Linked DNA regions of Notamacropus eugenii. The protein of the gene in region 1 interacts with the protein of each later gene in a pairwise test. Links are inferred from orthologs where the notes say so. Each region holds a gene or a part of one and is shown on either strand. Other genes may lie near its edges.

Region 1 (10,388 bases):
GTCCAGTCAGAGGAATGGGCAGTCAGTGGTCTACTTTGTGATGGGGGAGGGGTGTAAGCAGATAAGACCAATATCACACATGGCTAGAAGGGTCATTTGAAGCCTGGCCAAGGCTTCTCTCCTTCAGAGAGAGCAGTGAATTGACAAAGAAGATGACTTTGGCCACGGTGCACAATCCAGGGGCAATATTCCAGGTGAGAAGGGATATGGGGGCAGAGGTTGCACTGGGGTGGTGACTGTGAGTGGAGGGAAGGGGATGGATTCGAGAGTCACACTGACAGGATTTAGTAACTGACTGGCTGCAGGAGAAGGAAGGGCCAAAGGTGACTCCAAGGTTTTGGGAAAAGGTGACTGGAAAGGATGGTGGTGCTGGCAGCAACTGAAGCAGGGAAATTGGGAGGTGGGGCAGGTTTATGGAGGAGATAATGAAGTCCGTTTAGGACAGGCTGAGCCTGAAACATTCGTGGATGTTCAGATAGACGTGTCCTGAAGGCAGTTGGGGATGTGGGAGTGAATCCAGAGATTAGGATATCTCGATTTGAGGGCCTTCTACACAGAAACAATCATTAAACTTATGGGCACAGATGTCTGTCAAGGGAGAAGGAAAGGGGAGCCAGAGGGGAGCCAGTACTGGGGGAGGGAAGGGGGGGAGGAGGGGAGGAGATAAATGAGCAGGAAAAAAGACGGAGCAGCAGAGTCACGAGAGTGACCATGAGAACACACTGGTGGGAGGGGTGGAAAATAATGTCCATTGTTATAGAAAGGTCAGGGAGGGCGAGGGCTGAGAACAGACCATGCCATTGACCTGTTAAGATTTGACCTGTCACCTTCAAGAGAGAAGGTTTCTCAAGTAGAATAGTTAGAAGCCAAGGTTATGAGGGGTTGAGGAGTAAATGGGGAGTAAGGAAATGAAGTGAATGTACATGATTCTTTCTAGGAGTTCAGCAGTGAAGGAGCAGAGAAATAATCTCTCAAGGGGATGGGAGGGTCAAGAAGGACGTTTAAGGCTAAGGGTGACCTGAGCATGACTGTAGGTATGATAGGGAGAGGCTGACAGTGAAAGAAAGAGAAGGCTCCTCTTTCAACAAAGATGGTGGGGGATGTAATCAAAGGTACAAGGAGAGGGACTGGTCAGTCATAACAAGGAAAGGGTCACATCTTTCTGTGACTGAAACACAAAGAACAGATGTTGGGGAGACAGAAAAAGGTTTCCAGGTGTGGAGGAACAATAGGTGACATTAATCAAAGAGGGAGGCCAGATCATGTGGATAGGGCTAGGGACTTGCTGAAAGAAGTCTGGACCAGCCTCCATGGGGAATGTGGTCAGTCTAAAAGGACTGACTGTCATGCAGCAGGGAGGATCCAGCTGAAGTTAGAGAATACAGATCTCTGGAGGACCCAGCAAAGATAGTGTCAGCATTCATTGGCTCGGCAATCCCAATCCGACCTGAGAAGGCAGATGGTGAGAATGGTCTTGAGGGAGGATGGGTCAGTTGAGAAAGTCAGCATGAAAGTGACTCAAGGTTAGAGGGCATTGTTTGGTAGAACAGGTTAAGTAGAGGGTCAAGGTTTCTTCTAAGTAACCCAGGAATATGTGCTATTTAACTTTTTAATCAATGATTTGGATAAAGGCAATTCAGTAAATTCTTACTGAATTTACACAGGATACAAGGCCAGGAGCGATAGTTAAGGCATTGAATGACAAAGTTGGGATCCAAAAAGATTCAACTAGCTAGACTGTTGAGCTAAATCTTAATATGATGAAATTTGATAGATATGAACATGGAGTCTTGGGTTAAAAAAAAATCAACTTTGCAAGTATATCATTATGTGTGGAAGTGGACAGTGTTGGGCCTGAAGTCAGGAAGACCTGAGTTCAAATTCAAATTGAACTCAAATTGAGTTCAAATACAAGAACAGACACACCCATTTTGTTTGGTGTTTGTTACATTCAGAATATTTTTTTCTTAAGAAAAAAAGGGTTCATCACATTTTTGGGAGAGCAGTGTCATTCAAGTGTTTGGGCTGAAAACTAGGCCAGGAGGTGTTGGAAATCGGGGAAAGAAATGAAGGCAAGGGCTGTAGACTAGCAGGGTTAAACTCAACACTGCATGTCAACTTGGAAAACCACAAATTCACATTATGTTGTATTTTAAGCTTTATTTTGTTAAACCTTTGCCAGCTACATTTTAATCAATGTTCAGCCCCCACTGGGGAGGTTTGTAGGCCATGAATTTGACACCTCTGGTGCAGAATGCCCTTTCTAGGAGTCTGTTTGATCAAGTCAAAGGGAATATAGATAGAGGATAATAATTTGAGCAGATGGCAGGGTCATGAGAAGGTTTTTTAAGGATAGAGGAGATACTGGCCTATCTATAGACTGCAGGGAAGAAGTCAGTGGATAAGGAAAGATCAAAGATCAACCAATCAGGTACTGTGCTAGAGGATAGGGGTACAGAGACTAAAACTAGAGTCCCTATCTTTAATATCTTTACATGCTACTAGGAGGAAAAAAACAGATATAGAGAAATCAATACAAAACATAAGATAATTACAAGGTAACTTTTTAATTTGACGGAAGGCTCAGGAAGACGCAGCTCTTGAGCTGAGCTCTCAAGTGTGACCACAGACCAGAACCCTCCCCTAAAATCCCTAGGTCGCAAGGCCTGGGTGACATCCTTCGGGGGAAAGTCTAACCCCAAAGTGGTATCTTATCTTTCTGGCTTGTTTTGCCCCTATCCCAGAGTTTTACTCCAGGCAAATCTCCAAAATAAAGCTTAGGTTGAAGACAAATGAAATGGCTGAAAAGCGAGAAGGGAAGAGCGAGATCAGATCAGAGTAGACAAGATGGACGTAGGGTGGGGTGAAGAGGTACAGAGCAGGGTAGGAAGGAAGAATAGGTTGGGAGGGACCTTAGAGGTTATCAAGTCCTTAAAATCAAAGGATTGCAGATTTTAGAGCAAATGGATCATCTCATCTAACCTCATTTTTTACATGGGGAAATTGAGGTCCAGAGTTATGAAGTGATTTGTTTGTTAAAGGTAACAGAGAAGTACCAGTGTCAGGTACAGAAGTACCTATGTCCCTTAACTCCAAATTCAGCAATCTTTCCAATACACCAAAATCATGGAAACGGAAAAGTTTTAGGTGAGGGTGAAATCTAAGTTGTCAGCACCCCTATAGTTTGACAGAGTACAGTCAGAGTTGATGGGAGTTGAAAAGATTAATGAACTGGGAGACCAGGACATTATAAAGTTTGTTGGCATGAACCATGAGCCAAGTCCTCAACTCCTGGAGGAAGGAAAAAACGTGATCTGGAGCTCAGCACATAACAGCAACAAACACCTGGATAGCGTCCGGATGATGGAAATTTAAAATGGAAAGGTCGCTGAGAACTGGTGCAGAGAGAGAGTCTCAAAGTGCATGACTCCTGGCCCCGAGTATCAAGAGGCATGAGACATTGGCCAAGACTGGAGATGGTCACAAGACATATGCTGCCCTCAGGATAAAGCAAGGCTTGAGTTACTACCTGAAGGTAGAAAGAATAGGAGGGAAAGAGGAGGAGTTTGTTAACAAAATGAGTGGACATTCTACAGAGCACAGTGGAAGGGAAAAGCAGAGGAGGGAAAGAAATTGGGCTGAGTTGTATAGGGATGAGCATTCAGGGGGACACCAGGGGAAAGAGATTTCCCCCAAGGCAGGTAGAAACTATGAAACATAGGGATTAGTGGAGCAGGAGGTAGCAATCTGCCAGCCTCAGGGCAGGGGGAGAATTAAGTAGGGAGACTATGACCAGTGTCTGCTCCTTTTCTGACTGCGTTTGAGGCTTCAAGTCCCTCCCCACTTTAAATCTGTCCCCCACAAAGTTGCCAAACGCCCATATTATTATTCCCCAACTCATTAAAATCCAGTGGCTCCTTATTGCCTCTAGAATAAAAACACAAACTGCTCTGTTCGGCCCTTCACAACCTAGTCCCAACCTATTTTTCCAGCCCCACTATACACTGTTCCCATCCAACCAGGCTCCTCCTGCTGCTGCTCACACAATGTGTCCCTGTGTCTTTGCAATGGCTGCACCTCCATGTATGGAGTGCACTTGCTCCGCATCTCTGCCTCGGAGATTCCCGGACCTTCATCGAGACTCATCTCCAGCCTACATACTCCTACAAGTCTCAGCGCCCACCACCTGCCTGGTATTTCTTTTGTGTTTGTCCTGCATGTGTTACGTAGGGATCTGCCTCTCTTGGAAGGCAAGGGCTGGGTTTTTCTGTTTTTGTATCCACAACAACTAGCACCGCGCCTGACACACCCTGGGCACTTAAGAGATGGTGGGTGACTCCATCCCAGAGCCCCGCCCCTTCCAGAGCTCCGCTCCACAGATGGCTCCGCCTCCTCACCACAGAGCTCCTCCCCCTCCAGAGTCCCGCCCCGCAGATGGCCCAGCCCCCTGGAGCTCCGCCTATCAGTTACCTGGAGCCTCAGCGGGTCCCTAGCAGCTCCGGCCTTCCATCCTGGAGGGAGGCTCTGGAGGGCCTTGCGAGCCACAAACAGCACTGGGCCCCGACCCTCCCCCGCTGCCACCAGGGCAGCCGCGAACAGCAACGCCGTCTTGCCGGAGCCCGGCTCCCCGAGCAGCAGAAGGCCGGTACCCTTCCCAGCGGCGCAACCTTCTCCGCCGACCCCTGCGCCCGGACTCAGCAGCGCCCTCAGAGCCTCCATGCCCGCTCTCAGCCCTCCCTCTGCGCTGCACACGCGGCCAATCAGAGCGCTGCTCTGCGCTAATCCCTCCCCCTTGAAAACGGTCCATTGGCTAGGCTCAGTTCACTTCGGTAGCTCGCCGGAGGGGCCGGGCGAACGCTCCCAATGGGCGGTCCCTCCACGTGGTCTTCCCAGGCTCGACTGCAATGGGGGGCAAGGTCTTCCAGGGCACCCCCTACTGCGCCCTCCTAGATCACCGAGCCTCACGTCTTCTTTTTCTTTTTCCTTCCTTTGTCTCTTCTCCAGTGCCTTTCCTCAGTTAAATATTCCCATTTTTCCTGCATATAACTTGCTTTGTATGTATCTGCATGTTGTCTGAGGGCAGGGACTCTTTTGCCCCTGTATGTATCCCTAGCACAGTGCCTAGCACGTAGTAGATGGTTAGTAAATGTTGATTGATTGATCTTGCATTCTGCAGTCCATTTAATCTCCATCTTTTCTCTCTACCACATCTCCCAGTTTGTTTCTCAGTTAAGAATTTACTAAGTACCTGCTCCTCGAAAGCGCTGTGTTAGGGCCCTGGAGATAGGAGGACAAACACGGAAAAGATTCCTATGCACAAGGAGCTTTATTCAACAAGTATCTCATATCACTAAAGTTCCTGTCAGCAGAAGCTTAGACCAAAGGGTAAAAAAGACAGACGGCTGCAAGTACCTGAAGCCTTTGCTTCCCTGAGATCCCAGGACAGAGTGGCGAGCCAGGAGGGAGGCATCTCTTGTTTATACAAACACATGCCTCTCCCACCTTACTCCCTTTCTATGGTTTTGGGCCAGTGAAGTTCAGGAATCCCTGACTGTACACAAAGAAACGGGAAAGACAAGAAGGAGAAGTTTGGGGAGATTGCTGGAAGCAGAAGTCACCATGTAGGAAACACATTTTTCTTTTCACTTTTAAAAAATAAGCGATGTAGCCACAGTATGTTGAATGTATATCCAGAACCTTGTTGAGGCTGCAGGTTCCCCACCCCTGGCTTATGCCATGTGAACATGGGGGTGGAGGGTGGGGGGCAGGGCAGAGAGAAGATTCTAGTTGTAAAACAGGCACACTAGAATGAGAGATTTCTTGCTTTTTAATCATTTTGAGCAGTATTCCGTGTCATCCCCTGGTTAAATTTCTAGTCTTTAGCCAGTGCTAGCATGTAATTTGGTTGGTATGTGAAGAGCAGTCTAATACCTGCTATGGGTCAATGGAGATGCTTCAGCCTTTGGGGATGCTATACTATGTAAGACCCAGAGAAGAACTGAGGGTCAGTGGCTCAAGGAGAGGGACGCTTGGTGGGCTAATCAGGTATTCACTCCAAAAAACAGTCCAAGAATCTCATGTATATGTCTCCTTTTCATAGTGAAACTCCTAGGAAAAGCAATGTTACTTTTCCCCACTTTCCTCTCAACCACTTCCAACAGCATCATTCAGTGGAAATTGCTCTCTCCAAGGTAACCAATGTTTTCTTAATTGCCAACGTATTAACTTTTTTCTCAGTCCTCATTCCTCTTGACTTCTCTGCTATGTTTGATGCTGTTAGCAGTTTTGTCCTCCAGGATTCTCTCTCTCCTGGATTTTTGTGATCCCATTCTCCTTTTTTAGGGTGAAGTGGATAGAACACTGAGCCTGGAGTTAGGAAGACTCATTTTAATGAGTTCAAATCTGACACTAGTTGTGTAACCTTGGGCAAGTTACTTAACCCTCTTTGCCTCAATTTCCTCATCTATTAAATGACCTGAAAGAAGGAAATGGCAAACCAGTCTAGTATCTTTGCCAAGAAAACCCCAGATGGGGTCGTGAAGAGTCAGACATGACTGAAAAACAACAACTTTTTCTTTTAACTATGTAATTGTTTGTTTTCAATCTCTGTTGTTGATCTATGTCACATCCCCTAATTGTGCATTTACCCTCAAGACCATATCTTGGGCCCTCTTCTTTTTTTCTCCCCTCTTTCTCCTTTGGCAAGTTCATCAACTTCCATGGGTTTAACGATCATCTCTATGTAGATGACTCTCAGGTCTATATATCAAGCCTTCATTTCTCGAGTTCCAGGCTTACATTCATCAGATGAATGTTGGACATCTGCAACTAAATGTTTCATAGAAATCTCAAACTTAACATGTCTAAAATGGAGCTCATTATCTTCCCTTTCAAACTCACCCCTCTTCCTAACTTCCCTATTTCTCCCAAGGGTATGACCATCCTTCCAGTCAGCTGGAAGATCAGGAACCCTGGGAGAGGCACCACCCTTCCTGATTATTAGGTCTGCTTTCAGACCAGCCATCATTTGGGGAGGCAACTCCTGTGGAGAAGGAGCCAGGCATCCTTATTAATTGTCAACCAATTGTCACTCACTGGGCAAGCAAGCCAGTCTAGCTGAAGTAGCAGTGCACCCTTGGGGAGAGATAAGAGGCAGCATATGCCAGGTGGGGCAAACTACCTCTACCGTAACCACCATATCCCCTCCAATCCTGATGGAAACAGCCCAGAACCCTGAATCCCAGAGCTTTAGGAATGGCAATTCTTCCAGGCAAGGGCTTTTAGTCATTATCTTGGGATACGTGGGTACTACCCACAGAAGACACAGAAAAGAAAGTTCTTGTCACCCAAGTCTTTGGTACTATCAGATGGTTCAATATCAGAATCTGATATGATTTTATCACTGGAAATGACATTTAAAAAGAGTGATTACCACCTGCTTTGCTGCTGTATCCTAAGGACATAGACCTTTCTATCCAACTGTAATGTTAATGGAATGTGAAGATCTTCCCCATCCATTAATAGACCTATGTAATCAGGGAAATCTTACAGCTTTGAGCTCCAGCCAGCTGTGATAAACTTGAGTCACATAGAGCCCACTGGGGGAGGAACTTGCCTAAGGAAGAGCTTGCTTAGGGGAGGCTTGTTTTCAGGAAGGCTTTCACACCTTTTGGTACTAAGCTAATTAGGCATTGAGTCACAAGGGTTGTGATGCCTTCTGGTTCTGAGCCTATTAGCCAAAAGTGTCTGTGTATATATGTATATATTCTGAGTTGAGATTTTGCTTTGGGAGTTTGCTTATGAGAAGGATCTTTTGATTCCCTGGACAGGACTCTGATTTGTTAAGAGTCTCCTCCCCATCCCCCATCCCCACTACTCAAATGTTTGTGCTCTCCTGCTCTGATGGCATATGTAGGTACTTGTATTACTTTGTTCAGACAGTTGGAGCCCTGTCTGTTAAATCTCTGTGTTCATTTCTCTGCTTGTATTTTCTACTTATCTGTAATTAAAGTAAGATCGTTGACCCCCTCTGAAGTTATCTTTCTTTCAGAAAAGCAGATCAAAGAACCTGTGCTAGCAGGCCATCCTGGGTATGCTTGGGTGCTTGCTAGTACACCAACTTACAGCTAAAACCTTCCGTGTGTACATCTCTCCCATTTAGAAGGTGCGGTCTTTGAGAGCAAACGCTGCGACATTTGTATTCCTCACATTTAGTTCAGTGCTCTGCACATAATCAGCACTTCATTCCTTCATTCATTCATGCATTCATTCCTTCTAATCACCCAGGTGACTAAAGTTTCAGAATCATTTCCAGTTCTTTACTCTCCCTTACATCTCCATTTCTAGTCAGTTTCCACAAAATCTCAGCCACCCCTCGCCCCCAATTCAGGTCTTCATCACCTTTGGCCTAGATTATTGAAGTATCCTCCTAACTGATCTCTCTATTATCTCTCCTTTCCAGCCCAAACCTCTAAACAACTTCTCAATGAATATTCCTAGTGACATGAACATGTCACTCTCCTATTCAAGAAGATTCAGACGCTTCTTACTACCTCTAAGAAAATACACACTCTTCTGGTTGGCATTTAAAACTCTTCATAATCTTTATCTCCAGGCTAATTTCACCTTACTACACCTCACACACTCTACATTCCAGCCAAACTGACTTACGTGCTTTTTGTCATGCAAAACATTCCATCTCTAGCAACTGTGGCTTTGTACAAGCTGTCCCCTGGTGCCTGGAATGCGCTCCCCTCACACCCCAACCTCTGGAATCTCTGGTTTCTTTCAAATTTCTGCTCAAGTGCCTCCTGCTACTAGAAGTCTGTCTTGATTCCTCCCACTCCTCTCACACACTTGTTATGGCCTTCCCCACTAAAATTATTCAGTGTTTAGTGCATATGTGAGGCAGCTTTCTACTTGGGACTGTAGCTGTTTTCCTTCCTATTTTTACCCCCTAGATCTTCAGGCATCCAAGAGAGATGGAAATATAGAACTGAATCGCCTTGAGGTAGGCATTACCATAAATGGCAGTTGTCAGAGGTCATGTTGATCTAGTAGGACTTTTCACTTTTTAAAGTATTTATTCATCTACAAAAATATTTATAGCAGCTATGTTTGTGGTGGCCAAGAACTGGAAATTAAGGGGATGCCCATCACTTAGGGAATGATTGAACAAGTTATGATATATGAACGTAATGGAATATATTGTGCTGTAAGAAATAATGAATAGGCAGACTTCAGAAAAACTAAAAAAGACTTATATGAACTGATGCTTAGTGAAATGAGCAGGACCAGGAGAACATTGTACGCAGTAACAGCCACAGTGTGCAGTGATTGACTTTGATAGACTTAGCTCTTCTCAAGCAATGCAAGGACCTAAAGTAACTCCAAAAGACTCATGATGAAAAATGCTATCCATTTCCAGAGAAAGAACTGTGAAGTCTGAATACAGATTGAAGCATACTATTTCCTCTCTTTTTTTGTTTTGTTTTGTTTTTTCTTTTTCATAATTCCTTCCATTCATTCTCATTCTTCTAATCAACATGACTAATCTGAAAATATGTTTAATAAGAATATATATAGAGAGTCTATATCAGAATGTATGCTGTGTTGGGAAGGGGCGAGGAGAGGGAGGCGGAGAAAATTTTAAATTTATTTAAGTTCATGTTAAAAACTAAAAATAAATTAATTAAAAATAGATCGAAGCTTTCCATTGCTATACAAAAAAATAAAAACAATATTTATTTTGTACAAATATTTTCCTTGGGGGCCCCCACATTGAACAATTTTGAGAAAGAAAATCCTCATAACAGATATGGATAGACCAGCAAAATAGCTTCCCACATTGGCCATGCCTGGCAAATATGTTTCCTGTCTGGCAGGAGGTAGTTGGTGTGTTTCATCTTCGTCTTCTGGACTCATGGTTTATAACTGCATAGATCAGAGTGTTCAAGTCATTCAAAGACATTTTTCTCTAGTGCTACTGGCATTGTATAACTGCTCTTCTAGTTGTGTTCACATCAGTTCCTAAAAGGCTTCCCAGTTTCCACTGAGACTGTCCATCTCATCATTTCTTATGGCACAGCAATATCCCATAATTTGTTTGACCATTCCCCAGTTGATGTGCATCCCTTTAGTTTCTGGGTCTAGCAGGACTTTTTTTCAGGGTATTCCTCACCAGAGAGAGATGTGTCTACTCCTGGTTCCTGTCATTGAGGGGGCCTTTGCTGGTTTTTCCAACATTTTGATGCTCACAGAAATGTAACCTGATCACTGTTGTTTCTAAATAGTCATTTACAACCAGGATAGGGTACATTATTTCTAGAATAGGAAAGAATAAACACAAGTGATCGAAGAGATGGAGGTATTGTGTGTTCATGGCTATG
Region 2 (9,537 bases), on another chromosome or scaffold:
AACACCAACAGCCCATGTCTTCAGGGAACAACTCCCCCCAGAATAACTCAGGGAATAAGTTACTTCACCCACACTCAGACCAAAGGTCATCTATTCCAGTTTTACTCACTGATCCAAAAGCAGTTCTATCTCTTCCCATTCTTCCTTCTAACAGTATAGCATTTCCTATTCTGAATGTAGAAATTTCACCTTAGACTTCTTCACCCTGATTTTTAAGGCAGGATAATGAACGCACAGCCCTCTACCAATAAGCCACCAAGGTAGCAAGCAGCAGTTGTCACCTGTGGGTGTCTTTCTCCTCGTATCTCTCTGGAAATCTGCAACGCTTTTTCGTACATTTTTTGTGCATCAGACAGTCGGCTGATATCAAGGAGGTATCGAGCATAGGAGTCATAGCACATGCCCAGAAGGAGATGAGTATTGGCTTTCTCTTCAGCTAAAAATCAAGCAAGACCATGTGGATGGAAGGGAAATGAGAGATCGTCCCTCCCTCCCAGCTTCCGATGCCATGGCCTCATTCCCTTGTGAATCAACCCATCAGTCCCTGAGAATCCCAGCTCCTAGATATCAATGTGAGACAAGCAGCAGCATCACTGCACTGCCACTACCAGGACCCATGTAATTATACCCCAATCTCAGAATCAAAGTAGGTTCTATTCATTCATTGATGAAAACTGCTGTCAAGAGAGTTGGGACAGTTAATGGTCACTTGCCCATGGAAGGCAGAAATGGTTTAGATACCTAGAAACTGACTTAGAGTTAACTTCCAGACTTTATTTTTTGCAGTTATTAAGTATCTGATGGTCTGGAAATTCCCCATACTTCAAACTGAATTCAGGAGTTAAAGTTTCCCACATTATTCATCCTACTTCCAGTTAATTAATCTATTAACTTGCTGGCGTTGGAAAGTTTGAACTTTAACACATTAGCCAGAGAAATTCTGTCCTTTCTGAGTTTGCTACATGCCTGACTCCCATTTTTTGGAGGTTAAGAAATTAGGTATTTTAAATTAAAAGATCCAGACTTGCAGCTGAGCTGAGTACAGGAAGGAAAACATCAATGTCTTCCTCTTTCAGCTTCCTAAAGGATCGTGGGCTGTATGCTCATTAAAAGGTGGCAGTGAAAGTGGCCATATCTGCTCAGTGATTGTCTCCAAAGCAATAGCAGAAAATACAAACCACTTTCTGATCAGTACCCAAAGTACATAATTCATCTCTCTTCCACTTTAACTAAGAAACTTCCTTCTCTTTTCTGCAGTGCATTAGGAAATCCCTCTCAGGTGAGACCTGGATTCCTTACCTGGCATAATTTCTTCTGTTAATGCCTTCTCTCTTGTGATTTTTCTCTCCAGGGTTGAAATGCAGAACTCGTAGCCAGCAAAAGCAAATTCCTGTCTGTAATGCAAAGAGCAGGGACGAGCAGTTCACCTTCAAGCTCCCTGACATTCTGCAGGGGGATCAGGGTCAGACTTCTCTTTCGTCCAACTAAGGCTTGAGTCACCACCAGAAAGGGACGTGTGAAATGGGAAGATGGCAATAAGTCAAGGCTCTCAGAGCTCCTACCCACTCACCACTCAAACCTCCTCTCTTAAAAAGTTTTTTGAGGGATATGTACCAGGTGCATTACCACACAATTTCTGTGATGGAGATATTCCAATTCTGACACTGATCAATTGTTTGCAGCTGAGTCAGACTCTGTAAATGTTTTTCCCCTGGCCATGAAAGCAGCATATCAATCCAAGCCCATATGATAAAGTAGGCCACAGCCAAACTGAAATGAATTTCTGGGATGCCAGACAAAGTTGATGGTTTCTGACCCTCTGAAAAGCAGGTAGTTTTACAAGAGTGTTTTTTCCGACATCCCAAGTCAAAAGTCTTCCCTCCAGCACCAAGCCTGCCCTGTGAGGCCTGCTATCCTAAGGGCCCTACCTTAACTTACCTTTTCAGAGTAGCATAGATACTGGCCAACTTTAGGGATATTTCAATTATTGCATTGTCCTCCTATTGGAAGAAAAAGACATTTAAAGACAATTCCTTCCGAGATCATTTTAGGTAATAATCACTGTCATTTATATAACATGCTAAGGCTTACACAGACCATCATTTAAATTACCTGGTTTTAGCTCATAATAACCCTGTGGGGATACATTTTTCAGATCAGGAAACTGAGCCTGAAAGGTTAACTGACTTGTCCAAAGTCCTACTGTTGGCTCTGACCCTAAGTCTCCCTCTAGCACTCCAAGTACCAACCCGTATCATATGACCTCATGCATCAGGGTACTGCCTCATGGTCTGTGTGTTCCTCATTGTCACAGTTAAAAGCTCAATTAAGAAACCACTACACTCCTGGCATATCAGGCAGCATGGCTGCAGGCTGGCATTCCTATTTTGAGGTGGAAGATGGAGAATTAGAAGGGTGGTTTTACTGTGGTTAGACATAAAATATACACTAAGAGAAATGCCCTTTCATGAAGATGCTAATTTGGAACCACTCACAGTTAACAAAAATTACTATTCTTACCTGCTTCATGCCTCCAATCAGGAGATGGCTCATTGTTGCTTTAAAAAGCTTTTCTGCCTAAAATAAGAAATTGTATAAGTGGTCCCACCATTCCACAAAGGGTCACAGAAAACACTAGGATGAGGGTTCCCAACAAGGGGTTTACAGAATAACTCTCTAAAAGGACATTAAGAGGTGACAGAAGATGGCAGGGCTCCTGAGCTTATCTATTTATAGATCTTAAGGAACGCTGTGATACAGTACGACTTCAACTTAAATGAGTTCATCTGATCTCCAGACAAAGATCTCCTGGAATTTCAAGCCTAATTTTTCATGATTCAGAGTCTAATAAAACACTTGCTTACTTTTTCAAGCTGATTCCTCATGAACGCTAAATTAGCCATCTGTAAAGGAAAGAGAAGTCAAATCAACATTACTTTTCCAATTGGTGCACTGCCTCCATCATTTTTATCAGAATCTAAGACCTTTTCCCCTCTATTTTCTTAAAGTGAGAGATGAGTATGACCAAAGGACCATCACTAACTAGAAGTCATCACTGCACAAGGAGACTGATGGGCATATATTTCAAACCGTGCTGATAAAGACCAGGCTAGCACTTAACCATTTCTTAAAATTCCCTGAATATTTACAGAAGTATTAATATGTAGTGGAGCATTCTGGTGAATTTTCAGCTCCTCCTACAATGCTTGACACACAGTAGGCTCTTCGTAACTGCTTGCGGATTGACTATGCATAAGAATTGAGCTTATAATCATCAACAACCCCCTCCAACGTTGAAATTAAACTCATCTGACAGATGGAAAAAGCGAGAAACCTAAAAGTCAACTTATATGTTTTGTCCTCTTGAGACCCAGAAACAGAAAGCAGGAGGCTTAGCAAGCCCTCTCCTGCTTTTGGCCCAGCAACAGTATGAGAAGAATTACCATATCATAGGTGTAGATGATGGCCTTCTTGATATCTGCCTTATGAGCAAGATGAAGGGCCTCGTGTAAAATGCGCTCTGCCTCCTCCGGGTCCTTTTTCATAATACTCAGCTGCAGGCAGAGAGTGCAAAGGAAAACATCAAAGGAGGGACAGCAATGCAACCTGGCTAGTGATTTTATATATACGTACATATATATGTATATGTGTGTATGTATGTATGTGTGCATGTGTGTACATGCGTGTGTATGTGTGCGCACGTGTACATGCATGCATGCGTGTATGGGTGTGCACATACATATGTATAAACGTACATATGTAAGTATATTATATACTTTTCTTTATTTCCTTAAATATTCCCCCATTACATTAAAAAACTAACCCTCCCCGCCTCGGCCCCCCCCTTTCTCCCCGAGAAGGCAGGGGGGAAGCTGACTGCGCACGTGGCGTCAGGCACACGTTATTTCCACCTTTATTCCGCCCAGCTCTTACCACGGATGGTCTCGGGGGCGGGCGGTGGGCTGGAGGGAGGCCCCCGGGCCTGGGGACGCTGGAGGGCGGCATTTCCCCCCTCCCCGCAGGTCTTCACGGGGGGCCTCCTCACCTTGGCCCGCTTGAGCATTTCGATGATCCTGAGCTCGGTCTCGGAGGGCGGGCTCTCCACCTCCTCGTCTTCCTCCTCCTCCTCCTCCTCCTCCTCCACCTCGGCGGGGGCGCTTTTGAAGAACCACGACAAGGCTGCTGGCGAGAGGGGGCGGGCCCGGTCACCACGGCAACGCAGCGCCGTCCCCACGGCAACGCGCGCCCCGCCGCCCCCCGCCGCCCCCGGCTCCCGCCCGCGCCGGGCCCCGGCTCACCCGCCAGCGCCACCACGCACAGCCCGCGGGCGGAGCGGCCCTGTCCGAGGCGGGAGGGCTTGGCGGCCACGTCGGCGCTTCGCCGGCCGCCGCCGCGGGGCCCCGCCAGCAGCAGCCGCGCGTAGCCCCTCCGACGCCGGCCCGCGGCCGCCAAGAGGCCCCGGCCGAGGCTGCGACTCAGCGGGCCCCACATCCCGGGCTCCGTCCGCGTCCGGAAGGAGCGGGCGGCTCGGGACAGCGAGTCACGCGGCCGCCTTCCGGCCTCGGCAGCTTCTCCCGGAGGAGCCGGGCGCGCAGGGGGGGCCCCGGGAGGACGGGGGTGGGGGGAGGCCCGGCCGTGGCACCGGCCTCGCAGCTCCAGCTCCGACACTCCGGGGGAGCCGCCGGCAGCTAGGCAGGCCGGCCCAGGCTCCGCCCTCTCCCCTCCCCGGGCCCCGCCTTCGGCCCTACCACGTGCCCAGGAGTCCCGCCCCCCGTGTCGTGGAAGCTTCCCCGGCCCCCTACTTCCGGGGACGGAGGCCGAACGGCCCCAAACCTTTCGCCTCCGACCTAGAAGGCCGCGGTGTTCCCGTTTCCGGGCTTGCGTAAGAACCCTGGGGCACGTGACCTGGAGGGGCAGGAACTACATCTCCCAGGGTGCGTAGCGCCTAGCCTAAGAAGCCGGGGCCGCTGGAGCTCAGGGAGGGCGGGAGCGGGAACCCTAGAGGGTGAGTCCCAACCCCGAGTGACCCTAGAACCCCGGAGTCCGGGATAGATCTTGGCCTCGAGTGCCCCTCGCGCAGGTCCGACCTTCCCCTCTCCCACCCCGCGGGTTTTCAAGAGTCCAGCCCCCAGGTTTGACAGATGAGGAAACTGAGGCCTGGAGGGGCGGCTAAGGCCCCCTACGTGAGCCGCAGGGTCGGGATGTGACCCCGGGGCTGACCCGCGCTTGGAGATCCACTTGTGTCCCTGCCCCCAGGATGCCATGGAGGCCACGCTGCCCGCGGTGCTGGAGGCGGTGCTGGGCGAGATTGCGGCCACGCGCGGGGAGGCGACTCGAGGTAGGGGGGCGTCCCGGGGCAGCCGCTGGCCCTCGGGACCCCAGGACCGGCCGGCCGAGCCCGGGGAGGGGGTGGGGTGCGGGGCAGGAACCTCCTGGGGGCGGCTCTTCCCTCAGTGACCAGCAGAGGATGCCCCTGGCCAAGGAACCCTGCTGCCTGTTGCTGCGGTCTGAGAGGGCGGGGGCCTGGGTGCGAATGCTGCCGGGGCCGCCGAGGAGGCCTGTCAGACGGGGCGGGTTCTGCCCACGTGTATCCATTCAGTGACAGAGAATCGTAAGGAACATACGAGCGAGCCTGTGCGGTTCGGCGTCTGCCCTCTGCCCGCACCGCACAGGGCTTGCCCGGTGCCTCTCTGTGCCCGGGATGGGAGGGGAGGGTCCTTCCGACGGGGCTGTGGCTGTGCCCGTGCCCTGCAGATCCGAGGCCCACCGACGGGGCCCGGCCACCCCTCCTCGGAACACTCAACCGAGCTTTGTTCTTTGTCCCCCTCGGAGAGCGGGGACTGTCCTTCTTAGGGGGGCCCAGCACACGGGAAGCATCTGACAGGTGTTTTTTCATTCATTCCATTCATTCATTACTGTGTGCTTGGCCGTATGCTAAATACGCCTACCTTCAAGGAGATTATACTATATATTATATTATTATAACATATATAACATAATATAATTATATATCCAATTATATTACATAAGGGGAAACACACACCTAGAGGAGCCATGACCAGGAAAGGGGGCTTTGGTCTGGGAAGTCCCGGTGGAACCCCAGAGCAGTTGCCTTTTCCAGAGGCTGTGCGAAGGCCGATTTATTTACAGTGCCCAGAGCCAGAGTGGAAGCAGGGAACAGGGTGGCCATACTTGACCAACAGCAAGTCCTGAAATGGCCTGGATCAAAGGGCACTCTCATCCAACTGGCCAGCCAGGCTGGGGGAGTGGGGAGTGTCACTGAGCTGAAGATAAGTTATAGGTACAGTAAGGTTGTCCAGACCAACTCCCTCATTTTACAGAGAAAGAAACTGAGGCTCAAAGAGTTAAGGGATTTGCTTGAGGCCACACTAGTAAATAGTGTTGTTTTTTAATGTGTGTATATACCATGTATCCACAATATGAGTGTATAGACAGTATATATACATCTATTATATATGCACACAAATTTGATATATAAACCCTTGCCTCTAGTTTTTCAATTGATCTTATTTTTACGAGTAGCTTTCATTTTTCCATCCCCTTCATTTCCAGATGTCTCTTCTCCCTCCCCACCTAGTGAGCCATCCTTCATAGCAAAGATTAGCCATGAAATAGAGCATTTCAGCCAAACCAGCCACCGCCTCAGCAATGCCTGAAGATAGCTTCTGCATTCATCCACATCCAATCCCCCGCTTCTGCAAAGGGGTGACCCCATGTTTCCTCTGCTCTTCCAAATGTCTGTTTAAAAATGGTTTGGTGTTGCATTAGTATCATTCAAAGAGACGTTGCCATTTTCAAGGGAGTGCTCAAGAACAAATCAACTCCCTTTGTCTGGTTTTTAGTCAAAACGGCTGTGAGTGAATGTGCTTAAAAGGATCCACTGGTATCAGTTGCTCGTGTATTCTGATCCCAGAAAGAAAAACAGCTGACTTTTTCTGAACTCCTCCAGTGAGAGAAACTACTGTTGTTTCCTACGGAAAGCAGATTGTTTTCCAGGATGAAAACCCACCCAGACATTCAATGGCTCCCTATTGCTTACTGATTGAAAGTTTAGGGAATTGCAACTTAGGGATATGACCTAGGAGTCCACCTGGCATCTTCCTGGCTCCGGATTTCAGGGTGGAGGCGAGAGTGGAGCAGCTAGTTGGCACAGTGACTAGAGCATTGGGCTTGGAATCAGGAAGACATTTTCCTGAGTTCAAATCTGCCCTCAGATACTTACTAGCTGTGTGACCCTGGGCAAGTCACTTCACCCTACTGGTATCATTTTCCTCAGATGTAAAATGAGCTGGAGAAGGAAAATCCCAAATGGGGTCACAGAGTTGGACACGACTGAAACAATGGAGCATTTTAATTTCTTCACAATCCCTTTTCCTTTGCACATTGTTAAACCCTTTCTCGTAAGAGTTTAAAATCTCTGTGGAAAAGTTAAAGAAATGAGAATTGGTTGCAGAGATGACCCTTTATCCAGATTTTATACTCTTAAGCAGTGAAGTCCATTCACTGGCTTTTTCATAATTCTAATCCTGTTGGGAAGGAGGTGGAAATTGAAAAGGCCTCCCTTGTGGAGGTGAGGTTGTAGGGCTTATAAGGCCTTCATTGCTAAGGATCAACATGTGGGCTCATCAGTTAGCATTCAGGAAGGTGACTGATTTTTCTTCCCCTTTTTTGTTTTGCAGTGCCTGATGAACTCCTCTTGGCGTGAGTATTTGCCCTTTTGAATTTGGGGGGAACTTTGATTGTCAGTGATGCTGGAGTACGATGCTTTTCATAGATCTGAACTTGTCATTCGTTACGAGGTCAGACATTCTATGGCTCCCTATTGTTTGTTAACAAAAGCTTAAACTTCACCTGGCACTCCCAGCTCTTCACAATTTTGTGCCACAGTCTTTCTAGCCTCCATTTGTTCCATCCAGATTGGACTACTATCCTCTCCCAACACCCCTGGAATAAATAAACAAACAAATAAAAAACTTAACCTCCTTGCCTTCCTGCACACCACTTCCTCTAGTTGGAATTCCCTTCCTTCCTTTTCTGCCTAGTGAATTCCTATCCATCCATTAAAGCCCACCTCAAATGCTGCTTCCTTCAGGAAGCTTTCCCCAGTTCTTCTCTCCCTACCCTCAGTGGAAAATGATCTTCCCTCAACACCTATGTGTGTGTGTGTGTGTGTGTGTGTGTGTGTGTGTGTGTGTGTGTGTGTGTGTGTGAAGCTTTCTGTATTGAAGTCTTACTCTTCTTGACGGGAAGTCCCATGAAGGCAGGGATCATGTCTTTTCTAACCTTTAAATCAATAAATTAACTAATAAGCACTTATTAAGCACTCACTTCATGCCAAACACTGTCCTGGGCTATGGAGATATAAGACAAAAGGGAATCAGTGCCTGCCCTTATGGAGCAGTGGGGTCATGGTAGATGAGACACTATGCACAGATGGGCCTGTACACAATACTAGGTGTTTGGTGAGGTGTGGGGGAGTTAGGAAAGGTCACTGGAGAAGAAAGGAACCCAAATTTGGAAAGAGATGAGATAGTTTAACAAGTGACTGTGCAAAAGGAGTGCATTCTGGGTATTGGGGACAGCCAGTGCAATGGCATGGAGATGAGCTGGTGTGGAGGCCTTGGACATAATGAGAGGGGTCAGGCACCAGGGGCTCTGGGCAGGTGGAATAAATAAGACTTAGCGCTGCTTGGGTGAGGGGGAAGGAGGAACTGAGGATGACTCGAGATGCCAGCCTGGGGATTGGGAGGATAGGAGTGCCCCCAACAGAAACAAGTTTGGGGGAAAGCTTCCGAGTTCTGCTCCAGACATGCTGAATTTGAGATGCCTTTGGGATGACCAAGAGGAGACACCAAATACACAGCTAGTTGAGCAGAGTTGGAGCTCATGGGAGTGACCCTAGAAGTCCGAGGCTCCTTCACACAGAGGTGGTAATTGAGCCTGTGAGAGCTGATGGGGGCAACCAGAACCCAGGGCTTCCTTGCAGGTAGGAACTGGGATAGGAATAGAGGCCCACGGAAAGGAGAGTGAGACAGGCAGGAAGGAAATGAAAACCCAGAGAGGAGAGGACCCATGAGGAGGGCACCCAGCGGCTGCAGAGGGTCAGGGGCGAGCACCAAGAAGACACCCTTGCATTGGGCTCTTTAGAGATCAGGGATAATATGATTGATGAGTTTATTCAGCACTCTCTGTGCCTAGCACAGTGTCATGAACACAATGGTGCTTAATACATCTTTGTTGTGTGTGACATATGAGGTGCATGTTGATTGATGTACACTTCCCTATCAGAGAAAGAAAGCATTCAGTCGGGGGGGCAGGGAGAGGGTTTCCCTCCCCCTCCCTTCCAAATAGTGTCCTTTGCTATCCTTCCATATATGTGCATGTATGTACATATATGTGTACACACAAATAACTTGAGTGTCTATGTTTGAGTGTGTTGACTTGGAATGGAGTTGGGTGGATGTGCCCAGCAAGGTGGAAGGCTGAATGCTGAATGGGATGCCATTGCCATCCTCA

What was found.
Region 2: the proteins of SWSAP1 (region 1) and ZSWIM7 interact in binary tests that used the Homo sapiens proteins (3 or more experiments, as listed by UniProt). The link is inferred for Notamacropus eugenii from reciprocal best matches to the Homo sapiens genes SWSAP1 and ZSWIM7.

Annotation. Positions count from the first base shown.
Region 1 is NC_092875.1:78,508,379-78,518,766, forward strand, and holds the start of SWSAP1 (ATPase SWSAP1), read right to left. Parts: upstream 4,755-10,388; 5' UTR 4,720-4,754; coding exon 4,471-4,719; intron 1-4,470. UniProt on the Homo sapiens protein: ATPase which is preferentially stimulated by single-stranded DNA and is involved in homologous recombination repair (HRR). Has a DNA-binding activity which is independent of its ATPase activity.
Region 2 is NC_092873.1:42,135,902-42,145,438, reverse strand, and holds the start of ZSWIM7 (zinc finger SWIM domain-containing protein 7), read left to right. Parts: upstream 1-4,866; 5' UTR 4,867-4,934; intron 4,935-4,950; exon of another isoform or gene 4,951-5,256; 5' UTR 5,257-5,262; coding exon 5,263-5,338; intron 5,339-7,700; coding exon 7,701-7,722; intron 7,723-9,537. Other genes in the region: TTC19 (tetratricopeptide repeat protein 19, mitochondrial), read right to left, coding at 282-436, 1,300-1,394, 1,939-2,000, 2,521-2,577, 2,865-2,903, 3,444-3,554, 4,046-4,182, 4,299-4,491. UniProt on the Homo sapiens protein: Involved in early stages of the homologous recombination repair (HRR) pathway of double-stranded DNA breaks arising during DNA replication or induced by DNA-damaging agents. Required for meiotic progression, hence for fertility.